7 linked regions of the Danio rerio genome follow. The protein of the gene in region 4 interacts with the protein of the main gene of each other region in a biochemical or structural test. Links are inferred from orthologs where the notes say so. Each region holds a gene or a part of one and is shown on either strand. Other genes may lie near its edges.

Region 1 (3,424 bases), on a different chromosome or scaffold from region 4:
TTGTTAGTGCATATTGTTAATTAATGTGTTAAGCTTAATGTGTTAAAGATTAAGCTAAATATAACCAACATGAACTCATGAGCTGTTAATGTATCATTACGTCATGACTTTACTTGAGGGGCACATCACCATTAACTCATCCTTAACTACTCATGAACTTCTGTGTTTAATCTGTTCATGTTGATGCTGACAGAACACTTTTCTATTGTTATTCAGTGTAAACGCACCAGTTGGACGGGAATGAGTTCATGAGTAGTTAGGAATGGGTTAATGATGATGTGCCCCTCCAAGTTAAGTCATGATATAATAATATATTAGCATATCATGAATTCATGATGGTTAAATTAAGCTTAAACTAATGTGGTATTTAATCAATTAAATCACAAACAATCGTGTACTAACAATTAGTTAAGGTAGCCGTTATTCACTCATGAAGTGAATCATGCTGTCGTTAACGATAGTTAATGATTAGCTCATGCATTAACATAATTAGTTTATAGTAAAATAATGCTTAGTTTACATATTAACACATCATTATTCATGTACTGTTATTGTAAAGTGTTATAGGATGAGCAACTAATGAGTAAAATTTCAATTGTAGATGAACTATCTTTTTAAAATGGTTTGAGAGTGAGTAAATTACCAGCAAAAAACGTTCATTGTTAAGTGATCTATCCCTTTAAAGATTTATACACAACCAGACACACATTAGTACACGTTTGAAAGTTTGAAATAACAGATGTAATGATTGTGCTGATAAAAGTGATTCTGGAATGGGTTTATATCTGCCAATCATCTGAGAGCCAACATTCATCCTACACAGACACAAGAACATATGGAGGGACCGTCTGAGTTACATATGAACGAAAGCTGCGTCAAAACCCTAAGACGCAGCTTTGGCTATTAAGGAAAAACTGTTAGTAAAAGCATGTAAACACCTGTAGATAATGGTGGCTGTGTTTGGTGTTTGTTCCAGAAACTTCGTACACACAGTGGAAAAGGAATGATTGTGTTAAACAGCTGCCGTCATGGGACTCTTCTGTCTTGGGTCGGAGTGCCGTTGGTCTCCGTAAGCATAGCGCTCTGGGCTGGTGTTTCGGTAGCCGCCGCGGCTCATGGTGTCAAATCGAGGGCCTCTGATGGGTATGGTGGGAGATGGGGGGACATCCTGTCGAAGTGGGCCTCTCTGCTGTGGAAGAGGGTGGTAGAAGCCGGCGTCGCCTTGACGAGGATCCAACGGGCGAGGGTAGGCCTCTCTGGGAGGAGGAGGGTAGCCGGGGTGGTAACCTGACTGGGGGTTTGGGTATTGTGCTGGTTCTCTGTGTGCTGACCACTGCTGCACAGGATACTCATTAGGGTCAGCTGGTGCTCTTCTGCAAGAGAGTGAAAGTGAAGGAAATATAGTTAGGGGAAGGAAGGAGATGGTAACACTGGTCAACTGTTCTAACAACCCATTTATTTTCACTGCCCAATTATTAGTTTTCAGTCACATGACCAGTGCGGAGGCTGGCGGACAAATAAACAATGGGTCATTATGGCATCTATACTGGGATTTCCATTTGAAACGCAGCACAAACCGGTCATTTTCCTTCAGTTTCAAGCTACAAATATTTGGATCACATATCAACAAAGGGTTAAAGTCAAGTTTGCTATGAGTTGACTACAATACTTTTAATTTTTATTTCGATACTGGTGCTAAATCAATACTTTTAAGACAGCACCGGTGCCGAAACGGTCCGTGAATTAATACTTTTGGAGGCTAATGCGCACAGCACCGAACTGACCGTGAAAGCAGAGGGACAGAGTGCCCGAGAGAGCGAATGCACGTGACACCTAGAGCGCACAGAGAGAGACCTCAGTCATATCTCCGCAGTCAGCCACTGATGGCTGATCTCGCTTCTCTGTGGCATTTTGACACAAACATGCCCGTCTAAATTTAGGGGGGCCAGAGGAGGGTCCAAGCTTGTTGACACGGCATCTGCTTCATGTAGCTGTGTCAGAATCATTGCTTGTAAAATACGCTTTAGAATGGTTATTTGATGAACGCAATCATGGGTGTTAATCTGAAGGGAGTCGCACTCGCTCACCGAATGCAATGTACTATGTGCGTTGTGTGCGTCCGTTCCCTAAGCAACAAGAACAAACGCCTGACATCGCCTGTCTGTACTCCTCAAAGTTGTTTAGAAATAAATGTTTAGAGATGGTGTGACAACGCTTACCTATGTGTGCCTTTGATGCACCCCTTGATGCTTCTTTTGTCCTTATCACAGCACCAGTGGCATCGAAATTAGGCACCGAAATTCATTTGCTGATTTGATCCGGTACATACCGGTTTCGGTACCCAACCCTACTTTTAATCAAGGCAGAGCAATTCATCGAAAATTAATCGGGATAAAAAAGTTAAATAGTGTCACACAAATTAGTGTCTCTAAATTTCTATACATTCATACATCCTCAATGCCAGATTGCAGTAAAATAATGTAAATTGAATTTTGCAGCATGAAACATGATTAATTAAATTGTTTTTTGTATTATTAAGTGTTTATTTTTTACTATTAAGTACTTTATTCATGTTTTTAAAAGCGCAAAAACATTTTCCACGCAATCCCCACCAATGTCAAGAGCGAGTCTACGGCCTTGATTCATTCACTTCTGCAATTTATACTTTAAATTTCCATTTGAATTGATACTTTAAAATATGCTTTTTATAGATGGGTCATGGATCAATGATCCTAACATTCGACACAAATCCATAAATTTCTCCTATCAGGTTGTTCTTTTTCTGAAGGAATTCTGCACAACCCGGGCATGTTCTATGTTTAGTTAATAATAATAATAATAATAATAATAATAATATTATTATTATTACTATTAATAATAATAATAATAATAATAATAATAATAAATAAAACATATTATTATTTTATTATTAAAAATTTATTTGTATAGCACTTTTCAATAGACCTTACATATGCATGTACATGCACATACTGTACATGCATACATACTCTTACACAATATATACATAAAATGCCTACACTTCACATACTGTTTCATTTATATGCAATTTTAAAAATGTGCCTCTTAACACGCTTTTTAAAAACATGAAAGTTGGGGGATAATTTTATTTTATTTTTTATTCGGGACACAATTCCACATTTTTGGAGCATAGTGCTATATCTTATTGCACAACAATTATCTGCTTTTGTTTGGCAGTCAGCAGAAGATAATGTTTTGGCCACCAGGGGTGTTCCCGTGATGGTGTGACGACAGGTTAAACCTATCGACTGGAATTTTATTTTGCTTGTTTTCATATCTTATCTGTGTTTCTATTTTTATATTTTTTCAGTCTCCCCTTTTGTATCTGTTGTTTTTTATGATGTTGTAACTTGAAACATGTTAAGTATACATTTAGCAGGATCAA
Region 2 (4,759 bases), on a different chromosome or scaffold from region 4:
CAGGGGTCACCACAGCAGAATGAACCGCCAAGTAATTCAGCATATGTTTATTTATTTATATATGGGGATGGTAGGGAGCCGATTCTTTCCTTCTAATGGCATAATACGTTAATGTCTGTCACAAAAAGAGAGAGGAGACTAATAAAAACATCAGTAATGCACTTGCAAACACACGCACACGCACACGCACACACACACACACACACACACACACACACACACGCATGCATACACCACTCACACACACACATACACATCTAGATTATTATAATAGAATCATTGTACAAATTATTTTTATTTTTTGTTACTGTTTTATCCAAAAATTTTGATTGTTAAATGTACAGTTTTTTTTCTGATCTATTATTTCTTTTTATTGATTTGTATAAATAATATTATTTGTTGAATAATAATATGATTTATTGAATAATATGGTATATTATTTATATATTTTTAATTATTATAAATAAATATAATATTGTTTTTTTATTTATTTATTTTTCGCTACTGCTACTATTCAGGGGAGCGCTGCATGGGCACAAAGTAATTTTTATTTAAGTTATTTATAAAGTTATTTTTTTATTTTAAAAAAATCTGTGAAAGTATATGTGTAAAATCTTATATTATTGTTTTGAAAGATGTAAAAAACACACAGTGACTGCTAGCCAGTTTTGAGGAAAACATGACACAGTGGGGTTTGTTGTAACAGGGTGTTACAATTAAGCCACACACTGTTGGACACCAATTAAACTAAATATTTTTTTTTTGAATTTTGAGTGAAATATTGAGAACTTTTTAAATAAAAATGCTTTTAATAGAAAATATTTAAGAAAAAATATGTTATTGTTAATAATGCAAATAAATTCACAGCATCATAATGGATAAATGGATAATATTGCAAATAGATTCAAATTTATTTATCGGATAAACAAATAAATAAATAAATAAATGTGCTATTCAGGATGAAAAAGAAATGAGCAATTTACTGAGGAAATATAGCTACTATTTAAAGTAAACTGAATTAAAATTAATTGTGTGAAATTTGCCTTTAAATGCATGTGCTACAACAACAACTAACTAAATAGTAACATTTTTACTCCTGGCACTTTTGGCAATATTGCACAGAAACCACAGGTCCGGCGACCATACAACCAGTGCTCATTTGTAGAAGAGGCTTATGTGTTGCGGGTTAAAAAAAATGGTTTGTCTAACCCTTTTACTTTGTTCATTATTTGACCAAAACCAAAAAGTGTGACTTTGTGCCCTGCTCTACCCTACTCTGTTTACTGTGATTTTTAGTGTATGTTACCTTTTTATGTAAAGTTTATAAATGCTTTGGCAATACATTTGTAACATTTGTCATGCCAATAAAGCAAGTATTGCATTCAATTGAGAGAGAGAGAGAGAGAGAGAGAGAGAGAGAGAGAGAGAGAGAGAGAGAGAGAGAGAGAGAGAGAGAGAGAGATCAGTGCTTTTGTGTTTGTGCTATGAACAATGCACTAACAATAAGCTTGACCACATGATGAAACAAAGAAAATCGCTGCACAAGTTTCGCTCTATCGGCGATAGGTGTCGCTGCGGTATCACTGGACGGGAACCGGTTTTGTCGCGCAGTCTGGTTGTAAACGCTCCTGTTTCAGGTGATTCTGTTTGATCCCTTCCGGTCTCCGTACATTTCTATCTCATGACGTCATTTGGTCGGACAAGAGAGAGAGAGAGAGCCAGAAACTTTGAACTTGCCTGGAAAATTGACGAAACCCTGTTTCTCCGTTAAATCAGAGCTGGATTTAGGCTGCGGTTCTTACACATGGATCAGAAACGGAGCATCGTTGATGTGCACCGTGTGAACGTCAGGCTTTTCAGGACCAGCATGTGAGCTTGAACAAATATAATTAAATCAGATCGGGGAGGACATGGATGAACGAGAAGGTGAGGATTCCGTGAACAAGCTTTGTTTTTGTGCACAGAAAATACTCGCTTGACCTTCTTTTATAGCTTGCTCTTTGACTCTTTCTGTTGGGTTTGTCACAGATCCGACGCAACGTGTAGGAATTTGGTGGTGCGATCGCGTGTTTTTCGTGTGTTGTTGACGTTTGTTGATAAACAATGTTAGAATAGATGTCAGAAGAATTAATAAAAATATACATCGCGTCGTTTCTAAGCATTAAAGATTTGTCTTAGTAATCGTGTAGAACCATTTTGTATGTTGTTTTTGTTCTCGATTGTAAACTGATAACGTTAGCTAATATGGGTTCCAGTTTTAACCTGTTTTGTCGTAGTAGAAGTAATGATGATGATAGTAATCGATCTGGTGTATTTATATGTATTAATAATGGTAAAATGTTGAAAAAATAAAACAAGATACAGCAGTCACTTAAATGGATCAACAATGCGAAATTACATAATGCAAAACTTAAGTTAGTGTTTTAAAACACCGAATGTACTACCTGGAATTGAAAGTAATATGTGCGGTTTTTCTATAAATAAAGCATGTTCTGTGTATGAGGCATCAACTCTGAATGTTGCTCTGATGTTTGATTGACAGATGTGACGGAGCGCGCGTGCACGGGCTGTGGCGGGAGGATTCAGGACGCTTTTCATGTGAAGGTTCTTCAAGACGCCTGGCACAACTCATGCTTTCAGTGGGTCTTAACATCTACTCTATTTAAACTGAACCAGACTGGTTGGAATTAGCCAAGATAAAATGTGTTCAAGTGATGTTACTGGTGTTGCCAACTATTCTTAAATACTTACCAAGTTAGAAAAAGCATAAAAAACAAAGTCTTCAGGTGGTTTGTCTTCTAGTCTTGTCTGTAGGTTAGATTTTGAAGCTGGATGTTCTAGCTGTCTGAGGCTGCCTAAACCAGCTAGTCTTTACATTTTATGTTTTCAGCCACTGAACTGTTTCAGTTACTCGAAGCTCAACCATGTGAAATGATTTCAGATAAGCAAGTGAGACAAAGATGAATTATTTTTAGCTTTTCTTTCTGAGAAAATACGCAGACTATTGCATTGAGATGACAGCAATCTGCATTTTGTCTTTGACTTCTACACAAAGCAGGTGTTCAATTCTAAAACCCTCAGCTTAGATGATAGAGGTAAAGTTGGTTTTATATTCACACATTCAAACTTTCCCCTTAGTAATATCATTTCTTAAAAGTATTATTTGCAAACTCCAAACAGTGAAATCATATTAGCAGCCAATGATTATCAAAGTACAACATTGTTCACAGTCAAATAAACAGTGTTGATGTTGTTTTCAAGTCCTACTTGCATGCTAAGTCCGATCGAATATTCAAAATAACATGGTAAATATATTCGTTTTTAATGAACGAATGTGTGAATATAAAACCAACTTCATCTCTATGCTTAGATGTCCTGATTATGTAAATACACAAGAGAAATGTTTGTGTAAATATAAACATTGAAATCATAATGTGTAAATGGGGCAATGAAAGGATTTGTTATCTCTTGTTTCCTAGCTCTCCTAAAAGTAATAGTTCACCAACAAATGAAGAATTGCTTAAAATGTACTTTAGCCATACAAAGCGTTGGTGATGTTTTTATTTTCTACACAATAAAAGTAAAAATATTCATAGCTGAAAGGTGGTATTTGGTGATTCATACAGTGCAGGTCACTGACCACTGACACTTTGAGACTGAGTAAAACACAAAACAAAAAACACATCTAGCCAAACAGAATTAATAATTGTTGCCCATAAGTTATTTTAAAGTAAAACCATTGGTCTGCACAACAAACCGAACGCAAAATTGGATAACCTGAGAGTGAGTAAACAAACAAGTGGGATAGTTCATCCAAAAATGAAAAAGTCTGAATGAAAATTATTTACTTATACACTTGACTTTATGGCCCAAACCAGCAGTTTTTTTGTTCTGTTGAACACAAAAGAAGATCATTTAAAGAATGTTGTAAACCATTGACAAACATAGGAAAAACAAATACATTGGAAGTCAGTGGTTATAGGCAAAGGTGCGAATTATACATAAACGATCGGTGGGTAGGTGAAGTTTTCATAATGTTCAGTAATATGCTTGAGTGAACCAAAGTTATCTATTATTTCAATTTCATCTAACTTATTAATCAAACTTCTGTTTTCAGTGTTTAAGGCATATTGAGTGGTTCTCAATGACATTTGTGATATTAAATAAACAGTGACTGGTTTGCTTTCCTGCTCCTATTAATGGATGACCATGAAAGACTGCACATATTTTTTATTTTACTATTTAATTTCCATGCAAGCAAGCGTTAATAAAATACACACCATGCATCAAGTTTTATGAACACCTACTGTACAAACGTCTATTTTACAAGAAACATGTTTAGTGAACACTTACACTGTCTGTTGGTGCTCTAGAGTTGCCGGTTTCAAACCGCTAAATTCATATTTTTAGCCCCATTATAGGGGTGTTCAAATGTATATTTACATTATCTATTTTTAATTAGTAGAATTTATTTAAGATACAGATCAGACAGGGTATCTGCAGGGTCTTAAATGTCTTAAATTTCAAAAACAAAATGTTAGGCCTTAAGTAGTATTAAATTCACTGAAAAATTATCTTGTATGTCTTAAATAATTTTAAACGGGTCTTCATTTTCCCTTGTTTATAAAGCTACCCAATCGTTCCAACAGGCATCAAAATGCCAACAATACATCAATAAGTTTTAGCAAAACTATTTACAGTTGAAGTCAGAATTATTAGCCCCCTGAATTATTAGCCCCCCTGTTTATTTTTCCCTCCT
Region 3 (5,038 bases), on a different chromosome or scaffold from region 4:
ACTGTAAGCACTTCTGTGTTTGGGTCGTGTCATTTGGAAGCCCAACAACAGAAACAGAACAGCTATGTGGAAACAGCAGGATGGCATTTCTCCCTCTGCAGTAACGTTACAGCGCCTCTGGCCACGGCCTTTACCTGCGCAGTGTGGGATGCGCAATAACGAACTTTTGTGATCTCACAGGGGGCGGAAGTATTTTTTGTAGTCCCCAAAATTCGTTAATTGTAGGCGTTGCTAAGCTAACTCTGTACAAATCAAGGTCTCCCTTTGCATTAAACTTTGAATATTTTACATTTAGAGATGCTGTTTATGTTCACACAGCTACATTACACATCAACTGAAGTTTAAAATATAATATCGTAGTGGACCACCCCTTTAAATGGGATTTCTTCTTCAAGCATTATTGTCAAACTTATGTTGTAAATCAGTTGCTTGCTGCAGGGTGGTGATTATCCAGAAACAAAACTATTTTAACAAATCTCACACTTTTTGGGGTCAAAGTTTAAACGGGTTTTCAAGCACTAAAACCATAAAATGAAAAGAATGCACATTCTAAAGTAATAGGCTATTAGTAATTGTATAACATTATTCATCAATTTTTTACAACAAGTTAAATTACATGGGATTTATTTATATACGTTTATTCATTCATTTTCTTGTCGCCTTAGTCCCTTTATTAATCCGGGGTCGCCACAGTGGAATGAACCACCAACTTATCCAGCTAATTTTTACGCAGCGGATGCCCTTCCAGCTGCAACCCATTTCTGGGAAACATCCACACACACACACTCATACACTATGGACAATTTAGCCTACCCAATTCACCTGTACCGCATGTCTTTGGACTGTGGGGGAAACCGGAGCACCCGGAGAAAACCCACGCGAAGGCAGGGAGAACATGCAAACTCCACACAGAAACGTCAACTGAGCCGAGGTTGGAACCAGCGACCCTCTTGCTGTGAGGCGACAGCACTACCTACTGCACCACTGCCTCGCCTTATTTATATATAGATCGATTTTCAACATAATTATATTAATCACCAACAATGCTTTATCAAGAAAACATTTCAAATTAATGTCAACATAAATACATAAATTACATAAATCAACATAAAGTACATAAATCTGAATGGCTATGCACAAAATGTGTGATCCTAATTAAACTTTTCATTCACAATTTTAACTCAAATTTCTTTACATAAACAGAAACGGGTTTAAACGGGTTTTTAAAAGAGACAAGTATAAGGAAATAAAAACAAATAATAAAAGTGATTAAAACAGATCAAACGTGTTTTAAAAGGTTATAAAAGAATGAAAAACAAAAGAAAGACATGATAGAGCGATCTGTCGGACAAAGCACAGGGCTCATTCAGTACAGGCACAGCTAAACAGATGTGTTTTCAGTCTTGGTTTGAATGTGCCTAATGTTGGAGCACATCTGAAACACACTATATGTGTGTATAAGCAATAGGAGTACTCCATTCCTTTTATTTCTTTCAGTGTCACTCTGTCCTCTCGCAATGAATGATAACACAAGACTCAATAACAAAAACCAAGGAGTCAATAAAACTCTTCCAAAACAAACATAACGTGGGTAATAAACTTGAGCAAGTCCTTTAAACCTATTCAGAAGTGCACAAATCTAATAATGCACAAAGCAAAAAAACATCTAAAACCTGATGTCCACTCTGATGTGCTGGAGTTTGTATTGACTTCAATTATAGCCCATTATAAAAAATTCATTTAATTATTTAAGCTAAATAAATACGTCAGGGATTACACACACACGCAAAATAGCATATAAACTGGCTCAGCATGCATTCACACATCAATTGTCTTTTTTCTGCAAGGGAAGCTTCCTGTCAATATTCATGACCAAGAAGCCCTGATGCCTCATGGATGCACTGAAATCGAGCACTGCGCTCATTCTGCAGGGCAGCTGCGTCACATGCACCACTGCATGTGTACTGTTGTTTACTTTGCATTCTTGAAATAAATACACAAGGTAAATGTCAAAACGCAATCACTCACCTCGTCTTTTCCTTCAGTGCTGCTGTCCTGCTGCTCAGATGTGCAGAGTTTCCTTTTGTTTTTGCTCTCGGTTTTCTTCATTCTGATGGATGGCGGCTGAGCGCTACTCTAATGTTAATATTTTGTTGAATCCAGTGGTCAGTGCATTCAGATACTGAAACAAATCTCGCCCTGGTACATGGTGAGCAAACCTCTCCTCAACTTTGGTCCACAAATACAGAATAAATGATGAACGCAGGTTTGCTTTTGTGTTGCACTCTCGACCTTAAGTTACAACCCCATCTGCCATGACAGCCAGTCTGTTTTTCTTCTCTTTTTCCGTCAAATACTGCTTTGTTTTCAGTTTTATGTAAACTATGCGGTTTTAGCGCCGAAAATCACCCGGCGGAACACGCTAGCTCGCTAGCAGTTTGTTGATAAAGTTTGACAACATCCGCAAAATAAACGCCTTTTGAGTTTACCAAAATTGAGAAAGTGATCGTTTAAAAGCAATGTGTAAATGAACTCGCCGGGCTCGAGTCTGTCACCGTGAGAGTGTAACGACAGGTTATCATTATGCTGAATAATGCCGCGTTTCCAACGTGTTTGCTGCCGTTTGAAGTCTTCCAGCGGATTGTCTCGTCTTGGTGAACCAATACTTTAGCATTCCAGTTATAACAAAACAAAGAGCTAACGTATAAAAACAGAAAATTTCCTCATCCACTAAACTGCCAGCAGACTGGAGATACACTTCGCCGCAGAGCCACAACACAGCGTTTAACTGTCCATCATGTCTCGTGAGTCTAGAGAGCGAGCTCTGTTTTGACGCGGATCATTATATCTAGCGGTCGCGAAGCTCCGCGTTTCTCCTTCAGTCTCGCTTTTCTTCAGACGTCAGCCCGGCCGGGTGCGGGGGAAACGGCTCGGTGCCGAAAACAATCGCTAATCAGACCCGGTGTTCTGTCATGCCGTCGCTTTTCTCCGAGGAGGAAATCTAGTAGCTTCCTGAAGCTCGCATCAAGTGAACGACCGCCGGTGAGCGCCAAATGCTGATCTAAGTTCAGTCTGTGTAGCAGAGTCTCAGAGAGGAGTCTTGCATATGCACTCGAGAGCTGATCTGAGTTCAGTGTGTAGGAGCAGATTCTAACTAAGTGGGGGAGTCTTGCATTGCATATACACCGGAGGGCTGATCTGGGAACGTTGTTTCCTCCAATGGCTTAGAAGGGGCAAGTGAAAAGATCGCTTTTTGGAGAAATTCGACTTTAGTTTGTTTTTGCTGCCATCTGCTGAGACTAAAGTAACCCTTCCTGCTTAAAACAATGTATAGATCCAAGCTCTCTGTACTATTCCTATTCTATATATTTGAGAAAAATAGAGGCTCAGCATATAATAATAAAACATTTAAAAATATATTATGAAATAAAAATATATAAATAAGTAATGCAAAATATTAAAGATTAATAAAAAATAAACATGAAAAAAGTAAAACTAATATTTTAATGAATACATAAATTAATACAATAGTATGCATAAGGGAAAAAAAACAGAAAAAAAACATATTCTAAATAATAATTTGTTCAGAAATTAAACTTTAACAACAGGGAAATTTAGCACTTAAACTTACTTTTCTTTTTAAATGCTTTTTTCTGTGGTTTGTGTGTGTGTGTGTGTGTGTGTGTACATATAAATAGTCCCTTTATTAATCTGGGGTCACCACAGCGGAATGAACCGCCAACTTATCCAACAAGTTTTTACGCAGCGGATGCCCTTCCAGCCGCAACCCATCTTTGGGAAACATCCACACACACATTCACACACACACACACACACACACACACACACACACACACACACACACACACACAGGACAATTTAGCCTACCCAATTCACCTGTACCGCATGTCTTTGGACTGTGGGGGAAACCGGAGCACCCGGAGGAAACCCACGCGAGCGCAGGGAGAACATGCAAACTCCACACAGAAACGCCAACTGAGCCGAGACTCGAATCAGCGACCCAGCGACCTTCTTGCTGTGAGGCGACAGCACTACCTACTGCGCCACTGCTTCGCCTATATATATATATATATATATATATATATATATATATATATATATATATATATATATATATATATATATATATATAATTAATGGAGAGATTTTTTTCAACACATTTCTAAACTTAATAGTTTTACTAACTCATTTCTAATAGCTGATTTATTTTATCTTTGCCATGATGACAGTACAATATTTTACTAGATATTTTTAAGAAACTAGTATTCAGCTTAAAGTGACATTTAAAGGCTTAACTAGGTTAATTAGGCAGGTTAGGGTAATTCAATTCAATTCATGTTTATTTTTAAAGTGCTTTTCACAATGAAGATTGTGTCAAAGCAGCTTAACATAGTTCTAGTAAAGTCCAGATTTCACAGTTGAAGTTCAGTTAACTAGTTCATGCGGTTTATGTTTCACTGCTGAAAATTAAAACTGAAGAGCAAACTCACCGAAGTGCAGCTCCACAAGTCCAAGCAAGCCACTGGTGACAGAAGTGAGGGAAAAAAAGAAAAACTTCACCCATTGACAAAGTGAAGGAAAAAAAAACCTAGAGAGGAACCAGGCTCTGTTGTACATAACCATAATTTTTATGGCCAAACTTGAAGAGCTGCAGTCTAGGACACTGGACACACCAGATTCTAGAGAAGCTGGAGGTCAATCGTGGAGAAGGTGCAGGTGTGAGTAGGTCGTCGTTGGGGAGTCAGGCTGGCCCAATCGAACAATGCGGTGACTGTGCATCTGTCACAGTGCTCTTTCAGGAATCAGTCTCATGCATTCCATTCCTCAATAACCATCACCATCAAGTCAGGATACTGCCTGGTCCATGATTATGGATATCTTGGGATCATCTCTTCACAGTTCTTGGATCGCATTAATGACACTGCATAGTCTCTAGGGACTTTAGAATGAGTATCCCCAGGTGGAAATAGAGAATAAACAAAATAATTATCGTAGCTGCTGTTCATAGTGTATTTAA
Region 4 (4,840 bases):
CTGTATTAGTGAATAGTAAGAGCAACGACATCTGTAATGGAAAGGAAGGGAATCCCACCGTTTTAATATTTATTTCAAAATGTTTTCCTGCCTAAATAAAATGAAGGCACAGAACAGATTTACATTACAGAGCAAGGGGCATCCCCTGGTGGTTCGGATGTATGGGTTGAGTATAGAGAGGATCGGCTCTTTAATGTTTATTGCCACCCTTTATAGACAGATAAAAAATATGGGAGAAATAGAAAAATACCTTTATGAGATGATAGCGGAATAGAATTGTAAAATACAGGAGCATACCGGGGAAAAAAGGAAAAAGATATGATCTAAATGGATTAGCTATTTTTTTGATGGCACTTCATTTTTCAGTTTCACATTAAATCTTCTGACCAAGCAAATGCTCTGTAGTTTCTTACATGTTTCCCCCTTCAAGACGCTTCAGATTTGCGTTAAATTTGATGCACTTGAGCTCACACAATCACACTGGCAGAGTATTAATAAAAATAAAAAGCTATTGGCTGCTTTTTAAAAGGGGAGGAGCTTTCCTGCCCTGTTTTCAAGTTTCATTTGAAATTGTCACACACCAAAAATGCACATTTCAAAGCACTTCACAGGACCTTTAAACCAAGCTAACTTAATGTGTACTGATACTTCATGATTCTGTAAGCATGAAAATATATACACCAAAATGCTGCAAGTAATGTCAGATTATCAAAACAAACATATCAAAACTAGCAATAGATCTATTTATTTGTAAAGAGTCATGTTTTGACTGCAAAATTGCACTTATGTTGAATATAATTTGATGCAAATGGCAAAATGCCCTTTTTAAAATAATATCAGACAGAATAGGCAGGTGTGCATTTTACATACATTTACATTTTGACGACACATTTTTTCTTCAATCTAGTAACTACACACTTTGTGTGTCTGGGGTCCTTTGAGCACTAGCAGCATGTGAAAAAACTAAAACCTGTCTTTTTCAGACAAATTAAGTGGTGTGACTTCCTGTGCTTAGTCCTTTGTTCAGCGAGTCTATATCAGGAAGAAGCACTTTAAGATCTTGTGGTAGGCTACTTGCAGAAATGCTGTAGCAAGATTCTAATCAGTAGAGCTTTCCTGCTAAACTTATATTAGATTTTTTTCTGATCAGTTCTGCCTCTCGTTTTCATCTGCAGAAGTAATTTCGTTCAAATGACTGAGAAAACTGAGAATGTTTCTGCAGCAAACCTGCTGCCAGTTGATTGGTGGTGAACTCATTGCGCAGGTGAGAGAGCAGAAGGCAAGGGAAAATTAAAGTTAATTTAATCTCAAAATTGCACAGATTACACGAACAGGAACAAAAGAGTAAAATACGCCTCTTATTGTGATTCTCAAATGAGATCAACATTAGTCTGAGAGCAAGATAAGAAATTAAATCTTCTTCCTTCCATTCTCATTAATCACTCACAGAACATATTGTCTCTGCTTGCCTTGTAGTTGCAAACTTGGCCTGCAGCTGAATTGGAAGAGGAAATTCCAGAGCTGTACAATGCAAACGTCTTGACAGTATTCTGTGATACAAAACTCGAACTGACTAGGAGTTTAGCTCTCAGAGATGTCAGCACTGTGGTCTGTCACCAAAAGATACAAATCATCAAACTAGCATATTTGAACACATATCGCAATTTAAATCTTTTAAAGGAAAAAACACCTAATTTTTTTATAACCAAGCATGACAATTTATACTGCAGATACGAGTGGATGCTATTTGATTTTGACAATGTAAATATTAAGTATTTATATGCCAATAATTTTATAACATGTTTAACATAAAAAAACACTAAAAATTGTGTTTTTCTTATGCACCACAACTAAAGTTCAGAAATACAAAAGAGCTCGATAACTCGAGTGTTGTTTCCCAATGCTTCTTCTGACCTTAAACTGCTGTATTATTTATTTGATTTTATGACATTTGACATGTACCCCAGAGAAGAGAACTGCACAGTGAAAAACTGGAAAACAGCTGCTTCACTGAGCACAACAAGAAAACAATATTCTTCCGCTGGAGTTTAAAGATGACACAACTGCAGAGTCATTCCCTAAAATTGGTTCATTTTTCCACGCTGAAAATGTGATTTTATGTGATTTTCTGATTTAGAAAAAAGGTTATGAATCACTGAAGTGGTGGCATGTTTTTGGATTATACTTTCATGCCACATTATTTAAAATCTAGATATAATTGACTTTTTTCCAAAGCAGCTGTGAAATAGCATGAACATGATTCTTAAAAAAAATTATGGTTTTCATCAAAAAAGAAACTTGAAAACATGGTTGATATTCACACTGCTATCATTACAAGGCTACGACTGACATCCAAATGAAGAAGGTTTATGGGTCTGGTGTGTGTGTGTGTGTGTGTGTGTGTGTGAGTGTGAGTGTGAGTGTGTTTAAGTTAGAAAAAGATTATTTGGTTAAAGTCATCGATTATGAAGGTCACCTAGGCACTTTTTTATGAAACGACCCTCCAGTATTAGGAAACATCTGACCTGCACTACTTGAGCGCTGCGCGTCCTGCTGGCGCTCCAAAAGAACAGAATAAAGACCCTGACCATCACACCTGCACAACTCTTTAGTTATTTTGCACAAAGTATCACATTTCTAGACGACTGCTGTATTTCTCATGAACTCCTAAAGTCAAACACGTGGACCTCTGGCACGGATAGAGCAACCTAAAGGGCGCACATTAAATCAGTTAATTTTAGTGCTGTGATTTCACCACCTCTCACCTCCGTCTCCAACTGCACCAGCTCCATTTTGGGCCATGGCTCTGCCAGTTGAGCAAGAGGCATTGTGCACGCTCCTTCTGTTTGTCTCAAGTCCTCAAATTTGAATGGGAATTTCTTCCGAACCCGTGTATTTCCTGCTGGCACGACCTGATATGTCCCTTTGGGTCAGGAGCAAACGGGCGACTTTCCTTGCTTACAATCCGCGCAGGACGCGCATAATCACTTCGTAGAAAAAGAAAGATCAAAGCTGTTATTCCCGTTTAAATGACGTTGACGGATTCTCCTCTCAGTCCGGCTAGGAAGAGGAGTTGCACAGCCCCGTTCCTGGAAATGAACAAATCTCTCAGACACGCGCAGGTGGACTCGGCTTTCAGAAGAACATGCACTGCGCGTCTGCGCCGATCAATCGCGTCTCCTCCGAGGAAATCCAATAAGATGTGTTAATGCAATACGGTGGAAAGTGTCTTCTGACACTGACTGTCGGTGTGCACACAGACGCTGCAAAGAGGAGCCGATGCTGTCAGTGTGTTCTCCTCTGAACCGAATCCACAGTGTAAAAGCTTCAGCCGATCATTGGTTTGAAGACAGTTCTCGGCCAGCCCCTTTTCCAAACACTCTGCTTACGCCCCTCTCTGGACCTGTGCTGTTACTGCAAGGCAAACTCTAAAGCTGCACTGACAAGGGCTGAAACTTCTAGCTCAAATTTACAGGTTGTTATATTCAAACAAACTCTCATGTAACTAATAAAAAATCCTCTTCCAAACATACAGTAGTTTAATTATTTTGCGGTCTCGGCGTGGATTTATCGGGAAATTGCGTTCAAACCTCATACACACGTGCGTGTCACGTCACCTCACACAAATAAAAGTATGTCCTGCTGTCCATAGCTTAAAATTTAAATATATTTGTGTCAAAGTTAAAGAGGCCAGATGAAAACACTTCTTAAACTCCTGGAGATCAATACTTTTTGTTTTTAAAAATTCCATTTGTGTCTGAAAGTACATTTCACAGAGAAGACTCACAACAAAAACAATTATCTTCCTCAAAACTCATACAATTTTGTTTTGTTTTTTAAAGTTAGAAGGACAAAAGTAACAGAAAAAGATACATTTAGATGGAATTTTGGGGGTTTCAGCAAGAACTGATAAATCAATCATGTTCACATGACATTAATTCGTCAGAATTATGTGCGAATTTAAAGTATTGGCTATGTCACAAAAATTCAGATTGAATTACAGACTTTGTGTTTTGTGTTTCAGTCCACACTCTCATAAATTTGTCAACCAACTTAATCAATTTGTTAAAGTCTAATCAAAAAAGTCATCAATTCATAAACTGGGTTCTGAAATAAAAAAATCTAGCAGTTTGATTATTACACGTTTTTCAGGTGTAAGATAACATTTGGATGTTTTTTATCACTTAAACAACAACACCACCACCAATTTCCTATAAAATATCTTTTTAACTGCATTTGACTGATATGAAAGCATATCATCCCAGGGCATTTCTCAGAAAAAAAAAAAAACTTCTCAACAAAAGAGAGATTGATGTAACAAAGTATTCCCCATTACTGGCACAAGTAGCCTATCTCCTTTTCCATCATGCTAGGAATGCTGTTCGATGTTCTCAATTGTAATTGTCTTGTAGGCTTGCCCATTTTGTGGCGAGGCAGTGATATGCCAATACCTCTTGACTTTTTATTCTCTCAAAGGGAGCAGAGAAGAGCAACTGTTGCTTCTCGCTGAGAGTGGTTACCACTGGCAACCACAGACCATCTGCCAGCGTGCCGGTGAATCTGTTGCCAGAGTAAAACAGAGTATGAATGGCCGCCTTTATGAGATGGTAGTGGGAGGATATGGAGTGTGCATTGGTAGAGGACCATGTTTCATTGAGTCAAATGATGGGACAAAGTACAAACTGATTTTAATGGCACTCAAATACACTAATGATAATGTAGGGCTTTGTCAGGCTAAACTGTGACATTTAAAAAAAGGCATCAAGACTAAGACCTGCAAGTGTGGATATAAAGACAATTATAAATCCTTCTCACAAAAACAAATCAAGCATTGCAAACA
Region 5 (4,238 bases), on a different chromosome or scaffold from region 4:
ATTTAACCCACAAGCAGCAAAATGAGTAAGAAACAGGCGTCTTTAGAAAATTTGTAATCCTCTAAGAAAACGGTTGGTGGTCGCATAGCAACCTACGAAACACTCCCAACCCCACGCAGTAAAATTGTCAAGCGTTGACCGGTGCGTGGTGATACCGATGTTTTGCTTTTATATTTTACATTAGTCTATTATTCATTCATTCTTTTATTTATTTTCTTTTTGGCTCAGTTCCTTTATTAATTCGGGGTCGCCACAGCGGAATGAACCGCCAACTTATCCAGCACATGTTTTACGCAGCGGATGCCCTTCCAGCTGCAACCCTTCACTGGGAAAACATTAGGCTTATCTTAATGCATAAAAATATCTACATATAGTAATAAACATACCATTTGTTTGAAAACAACATTTTTATCATCATTACTGCAAACTTATATGAGCGATTATATCATTAAATGTGGAGAGGGGCTTACAATATTTTCAGGGGGGAAAAGGGGGTCTCAGGCAAAAACAGGTTGGGAACCACTGCTTCAAAAGACTTTTAATTTTGGCATGAATAAAGTTTTACAAACAGTTTTACAAACAGTAATGATGGTGTTGGTTTTACCATATCAACCAAACCAAATTCCTATCATTTAGATGTGATGCAGGCACAGAAAACAGCATCCTTCTCAACACAAGACAAACTAAACTCTTCCAGACATCATCTACAGCTGCAGAGTTTAAGGGACATTCACCAACTTTATGACGACTGGCTTTATGCAAAACTATAAAAATCTACATATGTGTGTTGCTGAGGACTCATTTCAGCAGTTCAGAATTGCTTCTTCATATAGAAAAACAGCTACATTGCACACTACTTGAAAGCTAATATCAGACGACGGCAAAACAGACCACTTTAATGATGTTCCAAAAGCATGTTTACATAACATTAGCTATGTTTCCATCTAAAGATGTGAATTAAACTTGTGCCCAAACTGGAACATCAAGTAAATCATTTGCAAATTTAACACCGTTTACATCCAGTGACTCAAAGTGAACTAAATCATAATTACCTGATAAAGTGGCGGTAAATATCAAAAAGAAAAACGGAATTTGCTGTGATATATTAGAAGCCACTGAAGACTTTTTTCCTTATAGAATAAATGACTTGCTATTTTATTTATATTGAGTAAAAAGTTTCCTACTCATTAAAGAGCATTAGTGTTTTGAGCGTATTTTCAAAATGTATGTCCTAACCCCAGCCCTAACCTTAACCTTAACTGATGTGCATAAAAATAAGGTGGATAAAAACATAGCTATAGTCATAGAAGAACCATCCTTGGTTGTCCAAAGAACTTTCAGCGAAAAGTACATTCTGTAAAGAACATTTTTAAAACTCCAAAGAATGGAAATGGAATGACAGATTTGGAACATGGATTCTAAAATAGAATCTTTATCATTTTTCTAAGAGTGTATGTAGAGGATTCCGCACCTTCTTGAGAGCTCGTGACGGAGGTTTCCTGATGGGTTTGGAGATCTCGCTCCGTTTGGACACTGATCCATTGCCCTGTTTACTGGTGGAGGGTGAGGGTGAAGGGGTCGTGGCTGTGGGGCTCGTCCGGATGGCCATTTCCTCAGTGCAGGTGAGACGAAGACTGCGGAAATACTCATCAGTCTCTCTGTCAACCACCAGCAGTCTGGTCTCATGTTCCACAGCTTTAATCCGCTGCACCACCTGAAGACAAGAGAAATGCACATTTAGAAAAACTGCTTATGGGTCCCCACATTAAGAAATACTATATTATTTAATAGTAAAGTGTTTTTGAACCATACTAAAGTGTATTATAGGGATGCAACGATTACAGTTTTTGATTGTACATGTATAGTCTGAGGAATAATCACAGTTGTCTAGATTATACATTCATTAATTTCAAAACACTACTAGTTGTAAGTAATAAGTAGCCCCACACAGAATCTGCGCGTGCAGAATTCCGCAGATTTTCCGCAGATTTCTAGCCCATCATTAATTCAGTTTATTTACTTGAGTAAATGTGTAAATCTACATTTATTCAGTTTTTGTTCAGTAAATTATTACTTTTTATTTCATATATTAAGGCTTTAGTTATGATACTCCGCTGGATACTCCCAAAATAATTCCGCAGAAATCTGCAGATTTTTACCAAAATTCTCCGCAGAAATAGCAAAAAACGTCCGCAGATTCTGTCTGGCCCTAGTAATAAGTAATAATTTTACACTGAAAACAAATGACAGAACAATGAATTAATAAATGAATGAATAAATAAATAAATTAATTAATTAATAAATAAATACAAACATACATACATGCATAATAAATAAATTTAATAATTAATTAATTAATTAAAAATAAATAAATACATAAATGTATTAATAAATTAATTTATTAATTAATGTTATGTACAAATACATAAATAAATAAATAAATAAATAAATAAATAAATAAATAAATACATAAATAAATAAATAAATAAATTTAATAAATATTAATTAATAAAAAATAAATAAATACATAAATAAATAAATTTATAAATACATTTATTTATTTATTTATAATAAATAAATAACAATACGTTTACAAAAACTGTATTTGTCTAATGTAAATCTAAGCATCATATTAGCTAAGTATTTCCCTTTTAAAAAGAACAAATGCTGCTGAACCTCTGTCTGAAAGGCACTCTTGATCAACTATGTTATGAACTTGTTTGGTATTTTTCTTTTGTATTTTTTTTTCCTCTTTAAAGTAGAAATGTGTTTCCCAGTGATGGGTTTCAGCTGGAAGGGCATCCACTGCGTAAAACATATGCTGGATAAGTTGGCGGTTCATTCCACTGTCCCCAGATTAATAATGGGACAAAGCTCAAAAGAAAATGAATAAATGAGTAGAAATGTGTTTTTGTATGCTAGTACTCCACTGTATTACATAGACAGACATACAGTAACCATTTGAGTTCTGAATATGCCAAATAGGCTCAACCCCCCTGTTTACTGTAGTAAAAAAACCCTTCTATATTCATTTTTTGTTTCCATGTATTAAATAAGTAAACTGCCACTTTTCTAATTAAATGACACATTTATAAATATATATTTTTAAACTTACAGGCTAATTATTAATAATAATAATAATAATAATAATAATAATAATAATAATAATAATAATAATAATAGTTATAATAATAATAATAATAATAATAATAATAATAATAATAATAATAATAATAATACATTTTATTTATAACATGCTTTTCTAAAACCCAAAGCGCTTACAAGAAAGTAAAAACAACAAAGCAAGTAAACAATTAAAAAAATGCAATAAAAAAACACAGTAAGAATAAAAGATATCACAAATTAAAAACAGACCTAAAAAGATGAGTTTTAAGTAGCTTTTTAAAAGCATCAAATGATCCGGCACTCCTAATGTTAGTGGGAAGAGCATTCCACAGTTTGGGAGCACGGAAAGAGAATGGCCTACCTCCCATGGTGCTGAGTTTGCAGCGAGGCTGAAACAGCGTAAGACTCAAGGCAGAGCGTAGACTGGAGCCGAACCATGAACCGCTTTATATGTTAAAATCAATGTCTTAAAATCACATTTCACGAATTACAAATCACAAAATTCACATATTTCACGATCTGAATGATAATAATAAATAAGAAGTATGTTTTTAATACTAGACAACACTTGATGTTTCTGTCTCTGTCAGTGACCCAGTGACAGTTAAAACGAGTACATTCTCTCAGTGCTTCTGTCACTGTTTAATCCTTTCTGGAGATGAAAGCAGAGAAAACCCCACTGCTCCTCCATGACATTGGGATACAGGCCATACAAGGTTGTCTATATCAAAGAACTGCAGATAAGCAGATATTATAACAATTTATCAATAAATACACCTCGTTCTCTCGATGTCCACAGCTGTGATTTGCTGATCAAATGAAAAACAAAATATGGGGAGGAGCCAAATTCTGCCGCCGTTTTCATTTCAAATTTAAAGGGGACTGAGGCGATAATTTGGTGTATAGTGCATGAGCTAATCGCAAAACTTTAAGGGGGGCTGAATAGAAATATAGGGGGGCTACAGCCCCCGTAAAATAGGCCTAGCAACAACCATGCACAGCCATATCACCCTGCGGCCCAAGATCAGTTCATTACTGAAGCTAAGCAGGGCTGAGCCTGGATGCAAGACCACATGGGAAAACTAGGTTGCTGTTGGAAAGGGTGTTAGTGA
Region 6 (4,238 bases), on a different chromosome or scaffold from region 4:
GACACAGTGTTAGACCTCTTTCTGGCCTTCACACAGAAACAGCAACGTGTGCTGCATGACATCACTTTGTTGCAGAGACACTATTGGTGAATGCCTTTGCAAACACTGGGACTTTTTCGTTTACATGCCTGCAGGGTATTTTAAGTTGAGGAGCTATTTGTTTTTATATTAGATTTTATTTTATTTTTAAAATATTTACTGTTGCACTAAAGTCCAAAAGTGAAGAGTTTGTTATTTATTACTTGATTGTTCAAGCTACCTCAAACAGTGCTATGTTTGTTAACAGAGTTGTTGAATGTTAAAATAAATTGAATTAAATAAAAAATAAGGAACATCTTGGATCTGTTTCTTCGCTCTTTTTTTATTATTTTTTTATGTATTATAGAAGTATCGGATCGAGTTTCGGAATACTCAAAATCAAATTAATCGGAGGCAAAAAAAACCTGATTGGACATCCCTAATGTTGATATCAATTTTTTATCTACTAAACATGAATATTGTCACTGTTTCGGAGCACACTAGCTTATTCACCTTATTCTCCACATACGAGTGGGCGCAGCCATTTGAATCTTTTTGGCTCAAGACGTCCGGTCTCATTCCCTTCCATTCATTTTTAGATGTAAACAACAGCTCGTCTTGCAAACTGATATTTTCTTATTAAATTATTCTATTTTGTCTGTATAGTCATGCAAACACTTGTTTGTAGAGTAAGTAGTTTGACTGTTTCCGTTTATTATTCCTAGTCATTTCTCCCATTGGCAACTGAATTGAAAGTTCTAAAACAATCGCAAAACCGAGCGCACTTGCGCATTGAAGAATAATGAATAGATATCCTAAAAACTAACAATACTGATACTAATATCATTCATTCATTCATTTTCTTTTCGGCTTACTCCCTTTAATAATCTTAGGTCGCCACAGCAGAACAAACCGCCAACTTATCCAGCATATGTTTTACACAGTGGATGCCCTCCAGCTGCAACCCATCTCTGGGAAACATCCACACACAATCATTCACACTCATACACTACGGACAATTTAGCCTACCCAATTCACCTATAGCGCATGTCTTTGGACTGTGGGGGAAACAGGAGCACCCAGAGGAAACTTACGTGAACACAGGGAGAACATGCAAACTTCACACAGAAACGCCAACTGATCCAGTCGAGGCTCGAACCAGCGACCTTTTAGCTGTGAGGGGACAGCACTACCCACTGTGCCACTGAGTCACCCCGAACTAATATCTCAAAAACTTGTTTAATTTCATGGAACCTTCAAAAAAATTAAGCTCATTGGTTCTTGCGAAAACTTAAATGCGTCACATGACACGCAAAAATAAACCACATTGGTTCTTGCGCATCAAGCAAGCATGCTTTAGCTTGCATGACCAAATCTGCAGATCAATGTTCAAATGTTATTTAAAGCCTAAATGGATTAAAATTCTGTTTTATTTATTTATTCATAACATTGTGAAAGCCAGAGACCTTGCAATGGAGGAAGAGAAATGGCTGAGATTTGATTAAAAATATCTTCATTTGTGTTTTAAGGATGAACAAACTTCTTATGGGATTGGAACAACATGGGAGCGAGTAGAAGATGATAGAATTATTATTTTTTGAGGTCAACTAAATCCTTGAAGTATGTTCATGTTTATTAATACTGCAGCACTTGATGGAACTCTTTGGTTGTTTTTGTTTCATATGAGGGGAGCATGTGCTGAAGTACCCGTCCTCTCTCTGTCAGCGTAGTCAGCATTATGATGACATTGACGTCCTGCTCCCACACGCTCCTCCAGAAGTGTGTACAGGTGTGCGGCAGTGGACCCTGAGCTGCTATGTACTGCAAAACACAACCTGCTGGCTCAGTCTGACACATGCACGCACACACACAGAGAAACACAAATCGTCAAGTCTTCAGTCAGTCACCCAGAATCATGAATCAAAACTTTTCAATTCAACACTAAAGTGAAGCAATGAAAAGAATGACTGGGATGAGACATACCTTCACGTGACTAGCATTGATGTAATCGTCCCCCTCCTCCTGCAGCACCACCCTGGTGATGTCATCTGAAAGAAAAGAATGAACGGGCAGAGAATGAGGAAGAGGGATTTGCGGATTATGTGAAAACACCTCTGAAGACTAGTTTTAAAGAGCATTACGCCTCATTCCCCATCGGGAGCTTATACGCATAATAATAAAATAATATGTTTGACCTTAGGCCTAATCTACTCAAGTGTGCTAGGTTTGTTCAATCTCATCAGTCATGCAGTTGTTGTAAAGTACAAACCTCCTGAACAAATGTTTTCAGTTTTTCAATTGTTATTTCGAAGGCTCATTTAGAACTTTAAAATGTTGTTTATGACACCAGGACTATTCATGACAGTGTCTTAGGGATATCCTTATATAGCCTGAAGATCAAACCAAACTAATGCTAGTTTTACTTAAAAAATACATAAAATGTGCATAAATTATTAATTATTATTTAGATGACTATATATACTGTGCATGAACAGCAATAAAAAGCGATTCAAATTTTGTTGGAAATGCTAATAAAATTTTAAGTGCCCTTATAATACCTTTCATGCAGCATGTAAGAATAAAGTACATAATAAAGTTACACTACCACCCTTAAAACAATCAGTCACTTCAGCAACAATTCCACTTTAACTTCTGTAACTGATCTACACAGAATCACACACAGTAAACAGTGATTCATTGACTTTATTTTTTAAAAAAGTGAGTAAACCTTTTTATTAAGTTATTAGTTGATTTTACCCAAAAAAGAGAATAAACCTGTTGCCTTAAAATGATTAAGTAAATAAACTATGTGTTTAATTATAAAAATTAAGTTTATTCAACTTAAAAGAATCAATGGGTTTACCCACTTTCCTAAAACTAAAGTCAACTTGTCACTTTTAAGGCAACGGTTTACTTATGGTTTTTAAAAGTAAAATAACTAATTGATTTTTTTATTCCGTAAGAAATCACATTAATAACAATAAATGTCATGAGAAACAATAAATGCCAAGACCCGTGAGAGCAGAGTGAAGCTGCGGTCAGGCTGCACTTTTCTCCTTATAGACTTCCATTTATACGCACACGAAAGAGACAAGTTTCGCATTTTGGAAAGTTCAAGCTTGGTGAACTCTGAACTGCGAAATCACATCACATGATTGCGTGAGACCAATCAAAGACCAAAACATGACCTCTCTAGACAGAAATTTAAAACATGGACCAATCGCTCGCTTTCTTAATGTCTGATCATTTTGTTTAATCCCGCCACTTTTCGCAGGGCCGTACAACAGAATTGGGCATGCACAAACTCTAGTGTGACTGCAGCATGAGGCCGGTGGTGTGAGTGTTAACAAGCGTCACCTATTTGCCACACCGGTCTTGAGTCTACCAGAGGACTGTGGAAGAATAAACGGGAAAGTGATGAGAGAGGAAGAAGAGAGGACCAGGCCTGTAACATGGTATGTTTTGTTTTGCTATCAGTTTGTCATTCATGAAAGGCTGCCATCACCCGCTTGTTTTCTTTATCAAAGTGCTTTAAACATTCATCAGTTCTTCTTCATTCATCAGCCTCCATCTTTTGGTGGCTAAAAAGCCATCTAATTACTTTATTACAAGCCTCCTTAGTGCTTAACAGAAAAACAAACTTGTTTGGACACACTTGAAGGTATTTTTTATTTTCGGGTCAACTATCCCTATATAAACTGTAAAAAAAAAAGCATAACTGAGGCACACTGTGCATCAACATGATGTTGAGTTTTCCACTTATAAATATGAGCCATTGATGTCTATTTTCAACTACCATTTATGATTATTTTGATATCACAAGAAGACAGCATTACTGCATTAACACTTTACCAAATCATGCATTCCCCGGAAACTGACATCACTGTTAGTGCCATGCTTTACAGTCTGAACTACAACTTAAAAAATGCCCTAGCTATTGTTTGTCTACATTTTTAAGTAAAACAATCCCACTTAATGAAACCTCCAGATTTTAATTAAAAAAAATGATATAACTAATATATAATAACCAAATAACACAATAATGCTATAATGTGTCTTCCGTATAACTTAATTTTCCTGGACATGAAAAGCAATACAACTTACATGGTAACACATCTTTGTACCGATTCTTGTCCATATTCTCAGACTGCTTTGCGCAAGACATTAACATTCCTTCTTTCTTCCTGTACAACTTCTGTAAGCAGCAAAACACACACACA
Region 7 (4,238 bases), on a different chromosome or scaffold from region 4:
TGTGCAGTTTGAATTGATTTTTGCATTACAAATGACATTAGTGGTGCAGAGCGCAACTTTGAATAAATGACATTACTCAGAATGCTGTAGCTCTCTCAATAATTGTGAGAAAGGAAAAGACAATTGCATGGAACATCTCCAAAAGAAAATGGTGCTATACTAAATAATAATAATAATGATAATAATAATAATAATAAATCTTAGAATAAAAGCAATTCAAAAACATACAGTTGAAGTCAGAATTATTAGCCCCCCTGAATTATTAGTCCCCCTGTTTATTTTTTCCCCAATTTCTGTTTAACGGAGAGAAGATTTTTTTCAACACATTTCTAAACATAATAGTTTTAATAACTAATTTCTAATAATTAGTTTATTTTATCTTTGCCATGATGACAGTAAGTAAAATTTTACTAAATATTTTTCAAGACACTTCTATACAGCTTAAAGTGACATTTAAAGACCTAACTAGGTTAATTAGGTTAACTAGGCAGATTAGGGTAATTAGGCAAGTTATTATATAATGATGGTTTGTTCTACAGACAATCAAGAGAAAATATAGCTTAAAGGGGCTAATATTGACCTTAAAATGTTTTTTGTTTTTTTTACTACTTTCATTCTAGCCAAAATACAGACTTTTTTCCAAAATAAAAAATATCAGACATACTGTGAAAATTTCCTTACTCTGTTAAACATCATTTGGGAAATATTTAAAAAAGAAAAAAAAAATCTAAAGGTGGCTAATAATTCTGACTTCAACTATATATTTAAAAATTTTTAAATGCAAAATGTTGAATTTAGTGTGTGTGTGTATGTGTGTGTGTGTGTGTGTGTGTGTGTGTGTGTGTGTGTGTGTGTGTGCGTGTGTGTGTGTGTGTTTGTGTGTGTGTGTGTGTGTGTGTGTGTGTGTGTGTGTGTGTGTGTGTGTGTGTGTGTGTGTGTGTGTGTGTGTGTGTGTGTATATGAATGGATGGATGGAAATGACAGAGGAGGAAATGACAATTCTACAGTTTATTGTTAAAAAATTAAAGATAGCTTCACCGATTAGCTTTGAATTGATACTAGCGTTTCATGTATACAAAACACTCTTATTTACCTTAATTTTGTTTGGTTTTTAAAAACACCTTTGAAGGTACAGCATGTTTGGGAATGACTAAATTAATGTATTTCCTTATCAAGCAATATTTATCTTGATTTTTCTTCAAGTGTTGTTGATAAAAATTCCCTCAATCTTGAACATGTGTTTTGATGTCACTAATCATTTTCATAGAAACCACCTAAACAATCTTTCACACAAACCTTTTTAAGCGACATTACAAGTTGGAAATGACACTGAAACTGTGCGACAGCTATGTTAAGTATAAAATTTTATTGATTATAGTCTTACGTTAAAAACTATAAAATATTTAACCTATTTTACAAGTACTTAATTAAGATACATTAAAAGTTACCAGCTACATAATATTTTAAAATGTTATTAATATTGTTAAAGTATAATACTCTGAGTGTGCGACAAGGCGAAAACAGTGATTTTGACACCTAAAAAGAGGTTGAATAATATGAAAAAAATATAGCTAGTAAATTTTTTTAAATTAAGTTTTATTATAAGTTTGACAAAATTCTATATATTTTTGGATATATGATCAAAGGACATAAAAGTGCCCGTAGTTAAAGAATTACCCATATACATTAAAAACAATGTGTTTGCTGCTTGGTCAAACAACTTATTTAAAATGAGCTAAAACAACACAATTCTTGAGATTTTTTGGGGACAGCTTAATTATTTTATATTCAGTCCACTTAAATGTGTTAATCTAACTTAATCGATTTGTGTTGGGACAACATAAATGCATTGTGTGGAACTCTGCATTCTTTATAGTGTAGGATACATAAAACCTTTTGCATGCACACACACACAAACACATATACACACAACACTTTTAAGATATAAACAAATACACACAAATACACTGTGTGCACTCACACTCACTCTTCCGGGAACCGCTGCGTGCTGCCAGGCTGGTGGTGCTCCCGGATTGGCTGTTATCCTCCACACTGGGCTCATAGGCGGGGTTAACCAGGCCAGGCTCATCTGATAGGAGGGCGATGGCTGAGGAGGGGCAACCCTCGCCGGGCAGTGCTGCCAGAGTGAGCTCTGAGGTGCTGTCTGTGCAGTCGCCCTCCTGAGAGCGACGCTTTCTCTCTGCAGAGAGTCCATAGTGTGACGCTCCTTTACACCTGTGAGAACACACACACACACAATGACAACTGGGTCAGCAAGATACATTACCATACAATGAAAATGTCATCATCCATGTGCCAATTAGGAAAGCAAAGTCACGTAGAGGAGACTTAGTAATCACATCGTCGCTAGGGTGTGTATTTGGACTTGAACTGAATTTTGTGCAATGTGTAGCTGATATATTATGTTGTGCCATCATAGAGGAGACCAGAGAACAAATACGTTCGCCACAGGAAGCAAACAAACACTAAGAGTAGAATATCAAAGGCCTCACCTTTGAAATGAGATTTCTTGCCTTACAAAACAAATCATGCACTAAAGCTATCTCTTCATAACATTACTGTACTCATAAACACTCACATGCAGATGTTAGTGCGGATTATATAGTGGAGCGCATCCAGAAATACATTTGCGGCATACATTTCTACTTGAAAGCATTCTTTAAATGTCACTATGTTTGCATTGACTAGCCAGTAAATGCAACTAGGCTAACTCTCATATACAAGGTCATAGGTTTGATCCACTCTGCATCCCTGAACTTTACTCTTTCCTAACTAGTGACAGGCAATTTGTCTGGAAAAATAGTGAATAGACAATCAGAATCTGTTGTGTGATGTGATCCGGTCAAAAATGCTTATTGTTTTATTTTGGACCAGTGAGCTTTTAGTGTGAGCGGTGCTAGATGGCTGGTGTTGAAGGAAGATGGATGGATGGATGGATGAATGGATGGATGGATGGATGGATGGATGGATGGATGGATGATGGATGGATGGATGGGTGGACGGACGGACGGATGGACGGACAGACAGACAGATAAATAGATAGATAGATAGATAGATAGCTAGATAGATAGATAGATAGATAGATAGATAGATAGATAGATAGATAGATAGATAGATAGATAGATAGATAGATAGATAGATAGATAGATAGATGGATGGATGGATGGATGGATGGACGGATAGAATGACGGATGGATGGACGGATGGATAGATAGATAGATAGATAGATAGATAGATAGATATATAGATATATAGATAGATAGATAGATAGATAGATAGATAGATAGATAGATAGATAGATAGATAGATAGATAGATAGATAGATAGATAGGTAGATAGATAGGTAATATCAATAAAAAAGAAAACAATAAATTCACCTCAAACATTTGTAAAGTGAATGATGGAACTATTATGGCGGCCACTGGAGCACAGGCCTCTCTGAGGGCCGGCTGTGAGGAGATAAATCAATGGACGGACATATACAGGCAAAAAAATGCATACGGCACTGGGAGAGATGCCATGCCTTGGGGACCATCTTTAAAATAAAGCATTTTGTCTCAGTATTCATGCCTGTCTTCACCCTCATAGCTGCCATAAGAGAAAAAAAGAGCGAGAGAAAGGAGACGTGTGGCCGAGGGTCTGACACTGGCTGTATATCTCACTTACTTCTGACCACTGATTGGAGTGCCTCAGGTGTGCAAACCTAATAACCGCCCTAAAAGAACAACGGCTGCTTTCACTCGGCTTCTGTTAAGGTGCTGATGAAAGACTTCAAATCCTGTTGGCAGCCTAAAGAAAGGCAATTACCCCTCGCTGGTCGATTGGCAGTGTGTCGGGACAAAATTACAGCTTAGGAGTTTTCTGTGATGACAACTACCACTCTCATATACAATCGAAGACTAAAATTGACAGACGATGCAGATAGACTGACATTAGAAAATTTAAAAAACAGATGGACGAACACAGCCAGACAGATATGGATGGATGTATGGATTGATAGAAACTGATAGACAGATAGATAGACAGACATATATAGATAGATAGATAGATAGATAGATAGATAGATAGATAGATAGATAGATAGATAGATAGATAGATAGATAGATAGATAGATAGATAGATAGATAGATAGATAGATAGATATATGGATGGATGGATGGATGGATGGATGGATGGATGGATGGATGGATGGATGGACGTACCATGCTCTACCTGGT

What was found.
Region 1: the proteins of rps6ka1 (region 4) and pard3bb interact in a test that uses a peptide from one of them, tested with the Homo sapiens proteins (2 studies listed by BioGRID and IntAct, with this or other methods). The link is inferred for Danio rerio from reciprocal best matches to the Homo sapiens genes RPS6KA1 and PARD3B.
Region 2: the proteins of rps6ka1 (region 4) and limk2 interact in a test that uses a peptide from one of them, tested with the Homo sapiens proteins (2 studies listed by BioGRID and IntAct). The link is inferred for Danio rerio from reciprocal best matches to the Homo sapiens genes RPS6KA1 and LIMK2.
Region 3: the proteins of rps6ka1 (region 4) and mast2 interact in a test that uses a peptide from one of them, tested with the Homo sapiens proteins (2 studies listed by BioGRID and IntAct, with this or other methods). The link is inferred for Danio rerio from reciprocal best matches to the Homo sapiens genes RPS6KA1 and MAST2.
Region 5: the proteins of rps6ka1 (region 4) and Na(+)/H(+) exchange regulatory cofactor NHE-RF2 interact in a test that uses a peptide from one of them, tested with the Homo sapiens proteins (2 studies listed by BioGRID and IntAct). The link is inferred for Danio rerio from reciprocal best matches to the Homo sapiens genes RPS6KA1 and NHERF2.
Region 6: the proteins of rps6ka1 (region 4) and ptpn3 interact in a test that uses a peptide from one of them, tested with the Homo sapiens proteins (2 studies listed by BioGRID and IntAct). The link is inferred for Danio rerio from reciprocal best matches to the Homo sapiens genes RPS6KA1 and PTPN3.
Region 7: the proteins of rps6ka1 (region 4) and lnx1 interact in a test that uses a peptide from one of them, tested with the Homo sapiens proteins (2 studies listed by BioGRID and IntAct). The link is inferred for Danio rerio from reciprocal best matches to the Homo sapiens genes RPS6KA1 and LNX1.

Annotation. Positions count from the first base shown.
Region 1 is NC_133184.1:14,758,244-14,761,667, forward strand, and holds part of pard3bb (partitioning defective 3 homolog B), read right to left. Parts: intron 1,374-3,424; coding exon 1,013-1,373; 3' UTR 1-1,012. UniProt on the Homo sapiens protein: Putative adapter protein involved in asymmetrical cell division and cell polarization processes. May play a role in the formation of epithelial tight junctions.
Region 2 is NC_133180.1:21,551,911-21,556,669, forward strand, and holds the start of limk2 (LIM domain kinase 2), read left to right. Parts: upstream 1-1,732; 5' UTR 1,733-1,910; coding exon 1,911-1,926; intron 1,927-2,542; coding exon 2,543-2,639; intron 2,640-4,759. UniProt on the Homo sapiens protein: Serine/threonine-protein kinase that plays an essential role in the regulation of actin filament dynamics. Acts downstream of several Rho family GTPase signal transduction pathways.
Region 3 is NC_133181.1:36,390,543-36,395,580, forward strand, and holds the start of mast2 (microtubule-associated serine/threonine-protein kinase 2), read right to left. Parts: upstream 3,039-5,038; 5' UTR 2,110-3,038; coding exon 2,029-2,109; intron 1-2,028. UniProt on the Homo sapiens protein: Appears to link the dystrophin/utrophin network with microtubule filaments via the syntrophins. Phosphorylation of DMD or UTRN may modulate their affinities for associated proteins. Functions in a multi-protein complex in spermatid maturation.
Region 4 is NC_133192.1:28,543,631-28,548,470, reverse strand, and holds the start of rps6ka1 (ribosomal protein S6 kinase alpha-1), read right to left. Parts: upstream 3,319-4,840; 5' UTR 2,829-3,318; coding exon 2,766-2,828; intron 1-2,765. UniProt on the Homo sapiens protein: Serine/threonine-protein kinase that acts downstream of ERK (MAPK1/ERK2 and MAPK3/ERK1) signaling and mediates mitogenic and stress-induced activation of the transcription factors CREB1, ETV1/ER81 and NR4A1/NUR77, regulates translation through RPS6 and EIF4B phosphorylation, and mediates cellular proliferation, survival, and differentiation by modulating mTOR signaling and repressing pro-apoptotic function of BAD and DAPK1.
Region 5 is NC_133178.1:11,806,402-11,810,639, reverse strand, and holds part of Na(+)/H(+) exchange regulatory cofactor NHE-RF2, read right to left. Parts: intron 1,715-4,238; coding exon 1,472-1,714; intron 1-1,471.
Region 6 is NC_133191.1:29,704,579-29,708,816, reverse strand, and holds part of ptpn3 (tyrosine-protein phosphatase non-receptor type 3), read right to left. Parts: intron 4,214-4,238; coding exon 4,123-4,213; intron 2,067-4,122; coding exon 2,002-2,066; intron 1,867-2,001; coding exon 1,726-1,866; intron 1-1,725.
Region 7 is NC_133195.1:25,257,634-25,261,871, reverse strand, and holds part of lnx1 (E3 ubiquitin-protein ligase LNX), read right to left. Parts: intron 2,236-4,238; coding exon 1,988-2,235; coding exon of another isoform or gene 1,982-1,987; intron 1-1,981.